Linked DNA regions of Daphnia pulex. Each later gene encodes a partner of the first gene's protein in a complex. Links are inferred from orthologs where the notes say so. Each region holds a gene or a part of one and is shown on either strand. Other genes may lie near its edges.

The links.
Region 2: the proteins of translation initiation factor eIF-2B subunit epsilon-like (region 1) and translation initiation factor eIF-2B subunit gamma-like are in contact, whole or in part, in a cryo-EM structure (PDB 7VLK), measured with the Homo sapiens proteins. The link is inferred for Daphnia pulex from reciprocal best matches to the Homo sapiens genes EIF2B5 and EIF2B3. Residues at the interface, in NP_003898.2 of Homo sapiens: Pro190, Val202, Arg222, Arg223, Phe224, Ala225, Phe226, Pro227, Leu228, Phe231, Gln232, Ser234, Ser235, Asp236, Gly237, Val238, Glu239, Val240, Arg241, Tyr242, Asp243; in NP_065098.1 of Homo sapiens: Arg155, Phe157, Glu178, Glu179, Leu180, Val181, Ile182, Lys183, Gly184, Leu187, Gln188, Pro191, Arg192, Ile193, Arg194, Phe195, His196, Thr197, Gly198.
Region 3: the proteins of translation initiation factor eIF-2B subunit epsilon-like (region 1) and translation initiation factor eIF-2B subunit beta-like are in contact, whole or in part, in a cryo-EM structure (PDB 6O81), measured with the Homo sapiens proteins. The link is inferred for Daphnia pulex from reciprocal best matches to the Homo sapiens genes EIF2B5 and EIF2B2. Residues at the interface, in NP_003898.2 of Homo sapiens: Glu81, Thr84, Ala85, Thr115, Leu117, Lys186, Glu187, Ser188, Ser189, Ser191, His192, Pro193, Thr194, Leu245, Lys294, Glu295, Tyr296, Asp312, Arg315, Arg316, Trp317, Tyr319, Pro320, Ala325, Asn326, Asp329, Thr336, His337, His340, Asn341; in NP_055054.1 of Homo sapiens: Ser12, Glu13, Glu16, Glu20, Lys23, Arg24, Asp283, Lys287, Phe288, Val289, Ala290, Pro291, Glu292, Glu293, Leu295, Pro296, Phe297, Thr298, Gly300, Asp301, Leu303, Glu304, Val306, Ser307, His309.

The regions. Positions count from the first base shown.
Region 1 is NC_060026.1:13,821,826-13,827,462, forward strand, and holds translation initiation factor eIF-2B subunit epsilon-like, read left to right. Parts: upstream 1-2,020; 5' UTR 2,021-2,192; coding exon 2,193-2,330; intron 2,331-2,399; coding exon 2,400-2,716; intron 2,717-2,794; coding exon 2,795-2,969; intron 2,970-3,034; coding exon 3,035-3,276; intron 3,277-3,341; coding exon 3,342-3,464; intron 3,465-3,530; coding exon 3,531-3,684; intron 3,685-3,743; coding exon 3,744-3,936; intron 3,937-4,009; coding exon 4,010-4,240; intron 4,241-4,299; coding exon 4,300-4,472; intron 4,473-4,536; coding exon 4,537-4,815; intron 4,816-4,886; coding exon 4,887-4,949; 3' UTR 4,950-5,032; downstream 5,033-5,637. Other genes in the region: complement component 1 Q subcomponent-binding protein, mitochondrial-like, read left to right, coding at 264-480, 543-693, 759-958, 1,016-1,104, 1,168-1,317; translocator protein-like, read right to left, coding at 5,344-5,523, 5,595-5,637. UniProt on the Homo sapiens protein: Acts as a component of the translation initiation factor 2B (eIF2B) complex, which catalyzes the exchange of GDP for GTP on eukaryotic initiation factor 2 (eIF2) gamma subunit.
Region 2 is NC_060019.1:11,424,830-11,430,662, forward strand, and holds translation initiation factor eIF-2B subunit gamma-like, read left to right. Parts: upstream 1-2,926; 5' UTR 2,927-3,041; exon of another isoform or gene 3,042-3,084; intron 3,085-3,245; exon of another isoform or gene 3,246-3,263; 5' UTR 3,264-3,275; coding exon 3,276-3,423; intron 3,424-3,481; coding exon 3,482-3,636; intron 3,637-3,704; coding exon 3,705-3,870; intron 3,871-3,968; coding exon 3,969-4,176; intron 4,177-4,250; coding exon 4,251-4,387; intron 4,388-4,458; coding exon 4,459-4,649; intron 4,650-4,714; coding exon 4,715-4,780; intron 4,781-4,843; coding exon 4,844-4,992; intron 4,993-5,049; coding exon 5,050-5,147; intron 5,148-5,214; coding exon 5,215-5,267; 3' UTR 5,268-5,445; downstream 5,446-5,833. Other genes in the region: vacuolar protein sorting-associated protein 33A-like, read left to right, coding at 878-987, 1,049-1,136, 1,200-1,304, 1,372-1,666, 1,739-1,865, 1,927-1,993. UniProt on the Homo sapiens protein: Acts as a component of the translation initiation factor 2B (eIF2B) complex, which catalyzes the exchange of GDP for GTP on the eukaryotic initiation factor 2 (eIF2) complex gamma subunit.
Region 3 is NC_060019.1:5,860,050-5,865,035, forward strand, and holds translation initiation factor eIF-2B subunit beta-like, read right to left. Parts: upstream 2,837-4,986; 5' UTR 2,697-2,836; coding exon 2,632-2,696; intron 2,552-2,631; coding exon 2,465-2,551; intron 2,398-2,464; coding exon 2,119-2,397; intron 2,055-2,118; coding exon 1,898-2,054; intron 1,830-1,897; coding exon 1,635-1,829; intron 1,571-1,634; coding exon 1,374-1,570; intron 1,300-1,373; coding exon 1,227-1,299; 3' UTR 1,161-1,226; downstream 1-1,160. Other genes in the region: asparagine-rich zinc finger protein AZF1-like, read left to right, coding at 1-204, 273-777. UniProt on the Homo sapiens protein: Acts as a component of the translation initiation factor 2B (eIF2B) complex, which catalyzes the exchange of GDP for GTP on eukaryotic initiation factor 2 (eIF2) gamma subunit.

The DNA.
Region 1 (5,637 bases):
GAGTTTGAGTTCAGTTTAAGTTGTAAACAAAAACCCACAACAATTAATCGATAGTGGAAAAAACTCGATAATCGATATATTTCCTCGTGGCTTCTGCTTTTGCCAGAAGATTCTTGTCTTAACTTGCAGTCTTGCTCTTGCACCACAGTCCCTTGCAGAATTATTATTTAATTCGCTGATAAAGTTCATCTTCGTTCGCTCTATTCATTCTTTAAAATCTCAATTTGTAAGACTCTGTTAAAGTTCAAAATCTCATTCCCATAATGTCATTTTCGGTGATAAATGTCGTTCGAAACGTTTCACGCCATGCGTTACCGGCGTCCATGAGGTCTATCCTGTCGAAACCCATTACCAGGTCTTTGTGGTACATGTCTAATCCCACAAATCAATTTGTCCCAACAAAACTTTCTCCAGCATTCAAACATACTCCCCTGAGCCCTTCCTGCCCATGTGGAGAATGCAGAGGAGTTCATACAAGAGGTAATACATTTTAACCATTTCACGTCACATTTAAATACAGCATAATATATGTTGCATCATAGGGGACAAAGAGCTGATTGAGTTCCTCTCAGAGGAAATTGCTGCTGAGAAGAAGGGAATGAGCAAAGCCAGGCCTGTCGCTAACTTGGATGGATTTGATGTTAAACACAATGGTTCAGAGATAGTATTGTCTAAGAAATTTAATGATGAACAGTGAGTAAATCTTTATGGGACAATTCTAAATTGAAACTTGTGGCTTAATTTTATTCATTAAACAGAATTGAGATAACAGTTAACGTCAACCATTCTGTTGATGCTGACATCAGTGAGGAAGTTGACAACAAAGCTGACAATCCTCCCCAGGCTGAAATGAAATCAAAACCACACTTTGAAGTCAAACTAATGAAGGGAAATCAAGTAACCAGATTTGCCTGCAGTTACATTCAAGATGCAGGAGAGCCTGTTGAAGATGCCCCAAGTAAGTGTTAATTGTATTTGAATAGCCAACAATATAAATAACACTCGATTTTTTCAGATGACATTTTCACTATTGATGAACTTGCAGTATATGAGGACAAACATAATGATCAGACTTATGCTGTCGCTGGAGACATTCTTGATGGGGTATATTTTAAAGTCAACAATATTTTAACCAAATTAAACTGATATTTCACATTTTCGTTATAGTACATGTACGACCTTCTGATGAATCTGCTCGAAGAACGAGGAGTATCCAACGAATTTGCTGAAAAGCTGAGCGATCTAGCTACCAAGCGGGAACACCATCTATTTATTAATTTGTTAGAGAGCCTTCAGTCTTTTGTCCAAGGCAAATGAAAGGTTTAGAATAGTTTTGAGATGAAAAATAAAAAGCTATGTAGTCATTTTGTTTAAAATGCTGATTTATTATTTATGGTTTTCCAAAACAATGGTTATTTAGAACCATCAGGGGTCTTAAATTCATTTTCAGTCCCCATTACTTCTTTTTCTATTTCTTTAAGGTCAATATTCTGTTCCTGGATTGCTTTCTAAAACAGAAAAGAGTAGATAAACATCTATAAAAGACAGAAATGTTGGACCAAAATTAACTTACCCTAACACATTCACGATACACCTTAAAGAAAGGACCACATGAGTCTGTTGAATGATCCCCTCTTAAGAATTTTTCTGTGAACCATGTGTTGAAACATGCATCATAATTTTGCTTCAATTGGCTACAGGCTTCACTTACACTATTCATGGTACAAATTTAACCTAGAAAAATAAAAATACAATAATCAATTAACATACTTTAAGAGCTTTGTGTGTCCCACACTTGTACCTTTGAACTGTAGATGAAGATTGGGCAGGATAAGCAGAGATCATTAACAAATTAGAGCACTTTTCTTGATTGAAAATTTATTCAACACGGTTGTAATTTCAATTAAAACCGGTCCTCAAAACATATTATGTACTAGGTAGTTTACAGCATTATCAAATCATGTGTACTTTGATTCGATCGTCTGCTCCATTGAGATAGCCTAGCGGCGAAAGAAAGTAACTTTTGTAGCAGACAATATTTTGCATCATTTCTCATTACCATAATCCCATTCCCTTCCTGCAATTCCTTGAATTTGGACGAGCTCACATGTGGACACTATTTATTACAGCTGTTGTAAATTATAAGAAATACTTTTCTTTGCCACAAGAGAATTGAAATACTGAATTAAAGAATGAGCTCCAATAAAACTTCCAAATCAATGTCCAAGTCCGGTTCTGAAGTTCTTAAACAAGAAGATGTTGTTCTTGCTGTTCTAATCGCTGATAGTTTTTCAATACGCTTCGCACCTGTAACTGATTCAAAACCGAAGGTGAAGATCCTACAATTAGATTTTTTAACGTTGAGGACACATATAACTGTTTAACTATTATTACATCAGGCACTTCTTCCGCTGGTCAATAGGCCCATGATTGACTATGCCTTGGAATCTCTACTTCTTAGTGGAGTACAGAAAACCTTTGTTTACTGTGTTGCACATGCTGATCAAATTCGTCAGTACCTCAAAGAATCTAAATGGATGAGATCTGTGTCTCCTATGTCCATTGAAGTTATTTCTCAAAGCCCTGATGACTGTCGATCTCTTGGAGATTCCCTTCGAGACATAGATGGAAAGTCATTGATAAGAGGAGACTTTATATTGATGTCTGCTGATGTCATTTCTAATGTACAGCTCATACCCATATTAGAAGAGCACAGGTAAATTGTAACATCTCTATAAAGTTGTAATCAAATCCATATCAAGTTTTTATTTTGATTTCATGCACTCTTTAATAGAGAAAAGAGGAAAACTGATAAAGGGATTGTCATGACACACATTTTTAAGAAATCTTTCCCGGGTCATCGATCCCGTTCTGCAGAAGAAGAACTCGTCTTAGCCATCAATCCCACCAACGGTCGTATTCTCAATTACCAGCAAACAACAAACCTGAAGAAGCTCAGTTTTCCTTTGGTGAGTTTCTGCTTTCAGTGTTTCGAAACCAACGATTCTTATTGATTTTCATATCAAATCTACAGGAAATGTTTAAAGAGCACGGTCTTGTTGATTTGCGCTATGATTTGGTTGATACGCACATTTCTATTTGTTCTCCCGTGGTTTTGCCGCTTTTTTCCGACAATTTCGATTACCAAACGTGGGGAGATTTTGTCCGAGGTATTCTCATCAACGAAGAAATTCTTAATAATACCATCTACTACCATCAGTTGGAAGGATCATACGCGGCACATGTTTCGAACGTTCCCATGTATGATGCTGTGAGGTAAGGAACACTTTCCAACATTTTAAATTCTACTCATCAAGTAACGAAAATGTTTATTTTTACAGCAAAGATGTTATTCAACGATGGGCATTTCCGCTTGTTCCCGATTTGAATCGGAGTGAAACAACTCCTCGACACACTTTATCACGTCACAATGTTTACAAGCAGCCTGGTGTCACCTTGGCCAAGTACACAATAACCTTTTCTCTTTTTTATTTCCATGTTACCATGATAACACCCTATTTGCGAAATAGGGAAAGTGTTTTGGAAAGGGACGTGGCGGTAGGAGAAAACTCTAAAATAGGAGAACGCACATTCGTCACCCAGTCCGTCATTGGCAGCCGTTGCACAATCGGAAACGACGTGTACATCAATAATGCTTATATTTGGGACGATGTTAACATCAAGGTTAGACCCAGCGAAAATTTTATTTTTGATAAATAATCAAACAATTTGCTTTTAATTAGAACAACTGCCACATTGAAGTAGCTCTCATCGCCGATGGTGTTGTGTTAAATGAAGGAGTCAAAATCGGCCGAGGCTGTGTCATTGGACCCGGAGTAGTTTTAGCTGCCGGTACCAAAATCCCTGACAATACTCGCCTCATGGCCCATCCTCCCAAATGTGATAACGACTTTGAAACATCGGACGAAGAAGATGGTAATGCAAACTTGAATACGTATGTCTATTAATTTAAATATAGTTACATTGGTATTTTTGTTTCCCCTTTTAGATAAGGTAGCTAAACCGTTTAGTGCCGATAGTGTCGCTTACGTTTATCAACGACCCGTCGAAGAAGATTCCGATGCAGAGTCTTTGATTGATGAATTATGGGGCTTGGACATTGATGAAGATTCAGAAAGTGAAGAAGATGAAGACGAAGACGAAGCTGATAACGACGAAGATGAAGAACACGAAGAAGAAGTGGACGTGGGCGACCTGCCAGAGGATATGAATGCTAGATGTAAGTTGCCTATGTGAACCTAAAAAATTAATTTACTAATTTGTTGAATTTTTCTATAGCATTTTATAATGAAGTCTTGGAGAGTCTTCAAAGAGGCTACGAAGAAAAAATCAAGGGTGACAACTTGGTTCTTGAAATTAACTCGTCCAAATACGCTTATAACGTTACCATGAAAGAGGTGAACATGCTCGTTATCAAAGCTATGCTTTCGTTGCCATCCGTCATGACTAAGGTAAACTTTAACGGCGAATCTTTTTGTATTAGATGTTTGATTGAAATTTGGTTGGCTTTTACAGAAGGCCGCCACTGGCACCAACGAAGATTGGGTCGCTCTAAGGCCGATATTGCAGCACTTTCTTCCTGTCATGAGAAATTACTTGAAAAACAATCAGTCGATGTTGGATTCTCTCGAGGCTCTGGAAGAATTTGGAGTTCATAACTCCCATTTTGTGAAATCTATTTGTAAAGTTCTCCATTTTTTGTACGGCGAGGACGTGTTGAGTGAGGACGCAATTTTGGAGTGGTACACCAATCCACCGAACGATCCCAGTGCATTGAAAACTATCCGGAAAACTGTACGTCTTAATTTCTTGAAAAGTTGACTTGATCCTTGGCCTGTTATTAACTTGTTTGTGTTTTGAAACAGGTGGAACCATTTATTACATGGCTGGAAGAAGCGGAAGAGGAATCATCGGAGGAATCGGATTGATAAGTCGCACTTGAATTTGTCCTGGTTTCTGAGAGCTGTAACAAATATCGAATTTATTGAAGTATATCTTTTTTCACAATTTATATGTCACTACTTCACATTTACTTGGATAACCATTGAAAATTACAGGCGTTGGTCACATAAGTAATAAGTGTAATGGTGGCGTATTTAAGAGTAACCGATTCAGTTCATGTCGTGAAAGAAACCAATTTTGAAAATCCTTTCGTAGTTCCAAATGGGTTAAATCGTAAAGAAAAAGGACGTACAAAATTATTTTAACGGATGCATTTATTTGAGAAATTTTGTGATTAACCGGTAAATGGAAATGCTCATCAAATGAAGACGTTGGAATGTGGGATGGAAAGAAAGCAATCCAAACCAAACGATTATCCATTTAAATCTTTTTCTTGTTTGCTGGTAAATTCATTCTCCAAATGGTGAAGGTGAGTAGCGAAGCGAAGCTCACCCAGACCAAGTAGGGCATCATCAAGTAAGAAGCCGTTTCGTTGACAGATTTAAAAGTGTAGACACAAGAAGCGATGCCGATAAGCAGAGCGATGACTTCGTAGAATGCCTGGAAATAGATAAGTCGGTAACAAAAACTAAAACTCTTTTTTTTTTAATACTTTTAAATTGAATAAATACCCATTCCAGATTGTGATAATAGAAGAAGATGAACGACCAAGCA
Region 2 (5,833 bases), on another chromosome or scaffold:
GTTTCAATTCTTAGGCAAAAGACTATACTATGGATTACCTTATTCATCATTGTCATTGTAATTGTTTCGCATAGCTAAATGCTTCATGAAGGGTAAATCAACGCAATATCATTTATTATTTTGAGTTTTCTTACGTATTTTGTTTGCCTAACTAATTTTGTTGTGACGCCCAGGAAAATGACCATAAAATGGGTTTGCTTGATTTTCATGGTAGTGTATTAAACCATTTCTGTGAGTCACTCATTGATTTTGTTGTGACGCCCAGGAAAATGACCATAAAATGGGTTTCTTGATTTTCATAGTGCACTAAACCATTTCTGTGAGTCACTCACTGATATAAATACCATATGATGAGTAGTCATCATGTATGGTAAGCACTGAAATAATTTACCATAATTGTAATGCCTCACGATAAATTTTATTTTGACTGTTAGGCTAATGATTAGAAGTTAGACATGAATATGTATCGTCCTCACCTAAATTTGGATGTGCACGTGTCTGTTTCAGAAAGAAAGTTAAGGACAGGAGAAGATGAGCATTGGTGATACTAAATTTTATTTTATTTTATGCGGATTTAGTCATTAGCTTTTTGTGACTTAGGACAACCACAAAATCCATTAGGTTGTCTGTTGACAGTCTGTTGATGTCTTGTTCAGTAAAAATAAATTTCGTCAACAGTTTTGTTATTGTTACAGGATATTGTTTCTCTTTTAGAGAAGTTCAGTGGAACAAAGGTATTTTGGTGTGTGCTATTCCATTTAAGAAATGTACGTAAATTCATCAATTATGCTAGGCAATATTTTGGGATGAACAACTCACTGGCCCCATTGGTTTGGTGGCAGAATACAGTTTTCTTAAGGAACTAGATGTTGTAAAAATGTTTCAGTTAAAACCTGGGCGCTTGCCTTCCATATCTGTTAAAAATATGCTGTTCATCACAAGACCTGAAGTTGAGCTGATGGATTGTATTGCCGATAACTTGCACAGGTATGAATAATCTACATATTTTAACTTTAAATAGTCAACAATAAGTTAATTTACATTTCAGCGAAGAAAGCCAAGGACATTCTGCTAGTAAGGAATATCAGTTAATTTTTGTCTCCCGACGAAGTGCAGTATGTGAACAGCGGCTCAAGGTTGGTTAAAGTTACTTAAATCAGCGAAGAAGAAATTGTTGACAAAATTATTACTTCATTTAGGACAAAGGAGTGTATGGAACTCTTACTTCTATTGATGAACTGCCTGCTGATTTTTTCCCACTAGATAGTGATGTCATTTCAATGGAACTCGATAATGTTTTCAAGGTATTTATTTATGAGCCAAACTTTGAAAGGGATTGCTTGTCATCAATTTCTTCAAATTTATTCTCAGGATTTATATGTTGACAATGAAATCAGCTCCTTACACCAAATTGCTCATGGGTTAATGTCCCTCCAAAGTTTATATGGCATTTTCCCCAACGTTGTGGGTAAGGGGCGCCATGCCCGTAACGTATTCGAATTGATGACTCGAATGCGACGTGATATTGGGGTAGACTGTGATCCCCCCATGTCTCCGTTGTTCGACACTCTCATGATCATTGATAGGACTGTAGATTTGATAACTCCTGTTGTCACTCAGTTGACCTATGAGGGTCTTATCGACGAATTCCATGGAATAAAACATAGTAAGAAAGTATTGTTAGCTTCTGAGTAAAACAATTATTTTACTTGCATTTTGTGGTTTCATTGTTATTTAGATACAGTCAAGCTTCCAGGAGAAAATTTTCAAGCCTCATCAAATGCGGGCCAGTCACCTCGCTCTGATGGTAGCTCTGTTAAATCTGTTGTTCTAAACTCGGCCGAAGAGCTTTACGCTGATTTGAGGTGAAATTTTTAATCAGACAAATTTTGCTTCCGACAGTTTTAAAGTTATTTATTTTCGCAGGGACAAGAACTTTTCAGCCGTGGGTACTGCACTCAGTCGCAAAGCTAAAGCTATTTCAGCTCAGTAGCCTGGATAACGCCATTGTTGCATTTGGAGGTGTTAAGGTTTCTGCATTCGCACGCGATAGTGGAGAAATATTCCTAGACTCCTTCGATGATTCGGTAATCATGGTTAGTTTAAACTCAATAATATTTCTCCAGCAGTTTTTTTCATCGGGATTTTTTTTTCTTGTGTATTCTCTTTAGATCAACCCGGATATACCTGATGAAAGGGAGCTGAGGGAGTGGCTTAAAGACAATCAGTAAACAAATCCTTTTTTACTGATTGTCTGAAGATCTTAATTACTTGACGTCCTTAAACATCGACTGCAGCTAATTGCCTCCATCTTTTTTCTCGAATTGTTGCCTCCATCTGTTTCCCTGAATTGTTGCCTTGCCTCAAACTTTTTTCCTAAAATATGGCTTCGATCTTGTAACCTGAACTGTTGCCTTTTTACCTCAGCCCTTGTGATGGAGAAATTGGGCCACTGTCTGAGTTTAACTCAAGAATTTCGTAAAATGATAAATGATAAAATAATAATAAATTTATTTCGTAAATGATAAAGAAAAAAAATCCAGGAAATTACAATAAACAAAATCTTACGAAATTCCTACATTTTAATTGTTTTGAAAATATAAGCAAAAGCTTTTAACTGATATCTTGCACGTTAATACCCGAGGGCGAACCTGGAAGGGTCTTGTTTCGTTATTTCTGATCTTACTTAACACATTTTTAGATATCGACAAAAATAAATCGTGGCTTAAAATTTGTATATTTTATCGGAGTAGAAGGAGGAGGAGCTTATTTGTTGGTAATTCAAGCAAGTCTAATAAGTAATAAGTCGCAGGATCCTGAAAAAAGGATAATAAACCGTGAATAATTGCAAATTGGCTCCTCCCTCTTTGTGGGCGGAGTTAAGCTTTCCATGGAGGTGTTTCCACGATTTTGGCCAAACCGCCTCAAACCCGCATCGTGCCCGCATTTTACCCACTGCATTTTGAGAATTTGAGCTAGTGTTTTAGTGTTTTGCTGTTTACAGCTGTTTACGAAACGTGTTTAATTTTGTCTACCGTGAGGTTAAATATCTGCTATTATTTTATTACGATTCATTAAATTAAGGTACCCGTACATACTTTCCGTTTGGTTCGATTTTTTTTAGTTAGAAATGTTTGTGTTGTGCGTTTCTGTAACACCGTTTGTGTTACCTTTCCATGTGCTAACAGATACAAAACGCATCATCCTTTTATTTTCTAATTCTCTCTATGTTTGCTATTTATTAGTTTATATTTGTATTCTAGTGTTCTTTAATCATGGAGTACCAAGCAGTAATAATGGCTGCTGGAAGGGGTTCACGTATGACAGATTTAACTCATGACCGTCCCAAGTGTCTATTACCAATATGCAACAGACCAATGATATGGTTTTCATTAAAAATGTTGGAAAATGCTGGTTTTGAAGGTATTTCAGTTTTTGTTTTGAATAAAGTTACTTTTATGTGACAAGGACTACTTTTTAGATGTCATAGTTGTTATCCATGAACAGTTTCGAGCTGAAGTTGCAGCTATTCCAAGCAAGTATGGTTTGAACATCAAACTGGATATAGCATGTCTTCCAAAAAATGAAGACTTTGGAACAGCTGATTCTCTTAGACTAGTCAAAGACCGAATCAAGGTATAAATCTTTAATAATGCAAGATTTTTATCACATATACTATACCTTTAAATCCAATCGAATTGCAGACTGATGTCCTGGTCATTAGTTGTGACTTGGTATGTGATATACCATTGCACAATGTGTTTGACTTACACAGAACTCATCAATCAAGTGTGACTGCACTTTTTAGCCAGTCCTCTCCAGAAGTAATGTCAACTGCAGTGCCTGGTCCCAAAACAAAATTCAAGCAAGGTATATCTTTCAGCATTCACTAGATTACTTTTAATAACAAAAAATGTATGATAGTATATTCATCAAATAATAATATAAAACTTCCCTTAAAATTTTAGAAAGGGACTTGGTTGGATTGGATCTGCAAACACCTCGTCTGGTTTTCTTAGTCTCAGAAGCAGATTTGACTTCAGAAAACGAGGAGGAACTCTCAATCCGAAAATCAGTGATGAAACATTTCCCACAGATAAGTGTTCAAGGTAACTTGCTTGACGCTCATCTCTACGTTATTAAGAAATGGGTCTGTGATTACATTGCCGAAAACCGGTAAGTCACACCGTTATTTAAATATATTACGCGTTAATGGATAAATCATAAAAACAAACAATTTTTTAACATAGGTCATTCACTATGCTGAAGGGTGAGGTCTTGCCTCATCTTGTGCGAAAACAGTTTATAAAAACTCAAAGGAAAAAAAACGAAAAAGAACTCCCCAATGCGGATGTCTCGGTCGTTTCTTTAAATACTACAAATCGAGGCACTATAAATAGAATTTGAAATCTCTACGTCTAAAGTCTAAATAGTATTATAATTTCTTTTTTTGTAAAGATATTTGCAGCTTCCTTGTTGATGTCGAAGAGGAAGAGAAAATCAGGAGCTACTCTGTTTGGAATGATCATCGTGGTGATTTGCGTGGCCCGTACCAAGACCATAATATCCGCTGTTTCGCTTATGTGGCCAAGGAAGGCTTTTGTCTACGTGCAAACTCGCTGAGCAACTATTGTGAGCTCAACCGACAAGTAAAGAAAGAAATTGTTAACTAGAATCGATCGACGATATTATTATTATTTAAAATGAAATTTAGGTTATTAAAAGATGGAATACAATGTTTCCTGATGAGGAAATCACACCACCCGTATCCAAAGCACAAGTAACGAAGACCCTTATAACTTTTAAATGTTGGATAAACATTATAACATTTTTTATAATATAGGTGGGAACTGATTGCCTTATTGGTGAAACGAGTCAGTTATCGGACAAGTGCTCTATTAAGCATTCGGTTATTGGTCAAGGTTGCAATATTGGAGAAAAAGTTAGGATTACCAATTGTATCATCATGGATAACGTTACGATCATGAAAGAGTAAGATGAGATTATTTATTTTTCTGCTACAACGTATATGAATTGTCTTCTTTTTAGAACAACTCTTCAAGGCAGCATTCTGATGGATAATTCGGTAATTGAGAATAGTTGCGATTTAAAAGACTGCATAGTGGGACATACCGTACATAGCAACTGTAAGTTATACTTTAAATGATAAACAGAAAAGGTTGCCATTCTCACGTTTCAATTCTTCGCACTTAGGCAAATCTACCAACGAAGTTTTGGTTGATGCTGATCGGCTCTTGGAAATATGAGTTTAAGTTATTTGAGATGTTTTTCTCAAATAACTAACTAATAAGTGGTGATAATCCTTCGGGCGATACCTTACAATTGAAAGGCGCTGTTTGCGTGGGCCGTTGGTATGCCTAAATTGCGAGACATCTCCTTGAATTTTGGTTGAAAGTATACAAACAATAAAATTTGCTAATTACATATCTAGTAATATTTTTTTAATTACGATTAAACTTGAACTGAAGAAGATGTATTAAAATTGTGCATCTAGTGATACATCCTTTTTTAACCGCGAAGCAGAAAAAATCTAACCCGAAGCTGAACGAGAATTTGTTTTTATTTCTTATTTAATGTTCTCGGTTGGTTCAACTTTTTCTTCTTAAAAAATAACGACGTCTATTTATTTACTTAAATCCGGATCGTCTATAGGCGTATAAGAATACCGCGACATGATTTAGATACAACTAACTATTTTTTAAATCTATGCGTAGTGTCTGTTTACTTACTGATTTATAATCCGTCTTCTTTTCAATTTACGCGCCGTGAAACATGTTATCAGCAAAAAAAGAATTCTTCATCTCAATCATTC
Region 3 (4,986 bases), on another chromosome or scaffold:
CGATACCGATTCTAGTATTAGAATTAAGAAATGTCGAACAAAGAAAGCCTGCTGGTCAAGTGACTCGCAACAAGAAAACGAACAACAGAATCAGGATAATAACATCAACAGACAGCACCGTAGAAGCAAAGGCAGCATCGCCAAATCACTGCACTATGGAATGGAATCAACTAGTGATGAAACCCATTCGATTCCCCTCTATCGGTTAGTGTTACTAAAACTATCAAATGTCTTTCTCGGATTGCATCTGACATTCATTTGCTTTGTTACAGGAAACTTTGCGAAGCTGTAGAGCCTTCTTCGTTTGGCTGTACTCCTCTTCAATGGTCTCCGAGGTCGAACAACAACAAGAACAAGTCCATCATAACTAGTCCGACTAAATCGACACCGCGCCGCGACATATCATCCGGATATGAATCTTTGCTTCAGGAGTGCCACCTCAACAGTACCTTGGATTCCAGTCGCGAAAACGTCATGAACGAAACGGCTAACGGTTCCAGCGGATTTTTGGCGCTGCCTGACACACCTGTCCGTCCCGAAAAACCCAAGCGGCGTTGGCTGCGTGAAGCTCTTACGAGTAACAACGAACAGCTCATTACCAACATGAACCGACCCAGTGTCATAATAGCTTCACCCAGGGTATTTCAACCCAAAAACACGTCCACACCAGATAAACCCAATAACAGCACCTTAATGCGAGCACTCCAAAACGCCGAAAAACAATGGACTGGCGCGATTGCTTTGATGCAGCTGGCCTCTTCAAGTTCGCAGTGCTGAAAAGAAAATGAACATAATGAATTCACCAAAGTTTTGTCTCTCTCAATAACCTATCCTTCCAATTCTGTCAATTTCTAATCTGCTGTTCCATTTCCTTGTAATTGCTCAGTGAAAAACGGTATTATTTTCGCTTATTATGATATTTCTCCATTTCCATCACTACTTTATTTTGAGAACTCTTTCTCGTACCTGAAAGATGAATCGACTGTTCTCTTCACTACTTATTTAATTTACTCTCTCCTTTCGATCCAGTGTCTTGATGAAGCTTTAACCAATCGATTCGTGCTTTTGGTGTTTACTCTTTTAATCTTGCTGATAGAGAAGACCAATACTTAGAACCCAACTGTAGTTTTGAAACGAAACAAAAATTCACTCCATGTTCGTAATTTTCTTAGTGCTGTGTGTTTATGTATCTCGGCCTTTTTAATACAAAGCCATTTTTTCCCACATTACAATTGCACGTCCAAAGGGTGGTACAGTTCACTGAGGAGTCGGTAGATGTAAGACGGTGCATTGCCTCCGCTAGAGAAACAAGTGTGATTATAAAATAGATACTTCTTCATTATCTTCAAACTATTTAAAAATAATTCGCTTACGTATTTGAAATAAAGAGTGTGACGAGCTCTGGAGGTACGTAGTCGAAAATTGGATTGTAGACGTTCACTTTGGAAACGAGCTTGCCTTCGTCGTTGTTCAATACTTCCTCGGGTGACACAAACTGGTTGAATCCATCTTGATCAAGGCTACAGACATATTCGGGACAGAGTTTAAACATTGGTGCACATACGACGAACTGAAATCATAAAAAATAAATTATTTTAGCTGAAAGTGTAGGCCTACAAAACTTATTCCATTACCGGAACCGAATAATGCTTTGCAGCCAGTGCAAGGGTATGAGTGCCACACACTGCTTTTAGACCACCGTTGGCCATAACAGAATGAGTACCGATGATTACTTTATTCACACGTGCCATCATTGCGAAAATGGCAGAATCCGGAATAAGGGTAGTAGAGATACGAGCTTCGGCTAAATCTGCAGCCAATTGATGTCCCTGTAATAATAGTCTGGAGTAAATATACAGGTGTTATGCAAATAAACGTTTTCAAATTCGCTGCCTACGTGGAAAAATGGAGCACATTCAGCAACGATGACCTGGAAAACACGATTTTTCGCAGCTGACTTCAGAAACGCCGAGACAGTTTTAGAATAACCAATAGTCATGATGATTTCGTTAGCGTGAATGTGTTCTAGGGCCTGGGCGGAAATGTCGATTTCACTGTGGAAACAAATTAAGGTAGTTGAATAGGCTGTGAAGCTAGACATGTGGTAAATTCTCAAACCTGGATTCTAATTCGGCAAGGAACTCTCCAATGTGCTCCATGATGGCTGGTTTGAGCAAGGGGATGTTTTTAGTGTAATCAGAATCACTTTCATCTGCTGTGAGAATTTTTTGAAGTGAGTCTTGCAAATCAGATTCTTCTTGTTTTCCTTTCTGCAGCATGGCATACTCATCCCTGACAATCTTTAACATTCTTCTTGTCATGTTGCCAATGACTGTTTCTGAAGGTGCAGTCTCTGCCAAATCTTTACCTATTCTTTTTATGGTGTCCATAAGCTCCCTACAGATTGAATTGAATCACTTAATAACTGGAACAGGAATTCTGGACTTGAGATAAACTAACAAACCTTGCATTCTGCCATTTCATTTGACCAATGATTTTTTTCCAAAGCTGTACGGAATTAAGGGCCAAGTCTCTCGATCCTTTGAACTTTCTACGAATAAAAAGAAACACAGAATGTCAATAACGAGATGGAATAGCCAGCATTACTTCTATGGCCTATAACAATCATACCTTTGCTTAAGATTGTTGGTGAAAGTTTCAATTATACCTTCAATTTCACTTTCAAGACTCGGCATTTTCACACTGATTTTCTATAATTTATTCTGAAATAACTGGTTTAAAGACAGATAATAAAGTGAAGTAGTTCACTGGAGAAAACGAGAATTTTGCAGCGTATTGTTTATTTACAAAGTTCGTCTGCAACTGCAACTGCTACTGCGCGAGTGCCCGATCGCTCAAATACGTACATCATCTTTCGAAGAAAGCCTCTGAAAAAGCGATCTGGTTCGTTATGGTTGGTTATGCCTGGGCTTATGGCATATCCATATCTCTATAGGCCCTACCATACCCCTGGTTATGGTTGGTTTGATAACAGAGTGAGTGTAAGATAAGTAGATAAATTCGTCATCTTTTATGCTTTTACTCGTTATCTTTTATTGTCGTTGCGCACACCTTTAAATTTGTGTTATCTATGATAATTCAACCAATAAGATTATTGGTGCGATTACAATCAGCACTGCCTTAATACCCAATCTAAAACGATAGCCAATCCCGATTGCGTAAAATGTGCAAGTGTACACTCTACGTCAAGACAAAATGTCATCCATAAATTCAGAGTGATTTCGCGTTAACGTTTAATGTTTTTGGGTCTTACTTTGATATGTATCCGGGGCGTTGGAATCAACCACATAATAATATTACGTCAAAGATCGTCGTAACAATTTACGGCCAAGTTTTGATTAGGTCGAAGTAAAATTTTTGGTGAGGGAGCTTTCACCTAACAGCACCACTACCTTTCTCGGTAAAAATGGGCGGCCACACGCTGTCAAGAGGTGCTGCTTAACTATATACAAAACTTGGATCAGCGAACACACGAAGAAAGACAATGGGAAGATCTGACCTGAACCTGTGGGTAAAAAGACAATGGAAATAAAACCCGAATCATCCCACATGGAAAAATGCCATAAAACCCCTCGTCGTGAAAGAGGAAAAATCTGAATTTCAACTTGGTAACAACTTGGTAACACTTCCAAGTTGGATTTCGCTCCTGCATTTATATTCATTCCGTCGTATACGTACAGTATATATTGTGACTTGTTTTTCACGATTACTCTTGACACAATTTTAAATGAATGATGGGCTTCTTACGCTGTCGCCTCTTTAGAATGTTTTTCACATCCTACTACATTTGGAGCAGCGAAATTAGACATTGTCGGGAAACTTATTTTTGTTCGTTTCTGGTGGGCCCTGGTGCCTACGTCTTAATCAATACATCGCCGGCGAAATAATGTGACAGCTAAAGTAAATAAAGACAAACCTGTAGGCGTCGGATACAAGACCATTGATTGAATAAAGCGATAATTTAATCACGGGACGCTCGATGGTGTCTAAGTACCGGGAGCAAGCCCGTTTATTTATAAACAACAATGGAGTCGGAATCAAATTGATTTTGATGTTTTCCGGCCAAAAAAAGAAAAAAAAAAGTTTAATATCTTGACCTATATCTTTGCTGCTGTTTGTGTGGTGGTAAGGCGGCAAATAAAAAACAGTCTAAACTGTTCGGGATCTAGTTTTCTGGTTGCCCGGTTTCTTTTGTTCCCTTTTGCTGGCGAGTGCCGAATCAAATTTGACTCTATAGGGGAAAATGTCCAAAAAATCGAAGCAAAAATCAGCCCAATCAAGAAACTGATATTTGATATCTTTTTCTTTTTTTGTTGTTGTTAACTTTCTCGTCAGAGGAAAGCCGAGAAAAGCAAAAAAAACGAGAAGAAATTCACGTTTCCAACTAAACGGGTGCCTTCTTTTCAGGTTTGCTTGTCCGCACGCTTGTTGTCTATTTAGAATATGCGTCTACTATATAGGAGTTTCCTTTTCCCTTTCTCCTATATAGCTGGTTCAAACCCAAACAAAATAATTTGTTGCCATTATGTATAGAAATTTTTCAAATATTAAACCCAAATTTTTTGTTGTGTTTGTTCCCGGCAAAAAAATGTGACGGCGTAGTATTCCAATTCCTTTTTGATTGGGGGTATAGGAAGAAAAGTTTGGGGCTAAAGGGAAATTTAGAATCATGCAATTCATCAGTAGAGGAAGTAATCAAGTGTGAAAAAAAAAACGGCAATCTAATCAGCGAGAGAAAGTTTGACTTATACGAATAGCTAGAGCGCTATTGTACGGAACCGAAGCTCAAAACTTTTATTTCTATTTTGTTCATAAAGAATTTTTTGGGCAGCGCGCGACACGGAGAACAAGTTTTCGACTCCCTTCCTGCCGACACACTCGCCTAGTAGGTGTCAGCTGGATGCACATTTCCGTTGAGCTGTCCAATAGATTATTACCCGTTGACTGGTTAACGGCCGCGATCTC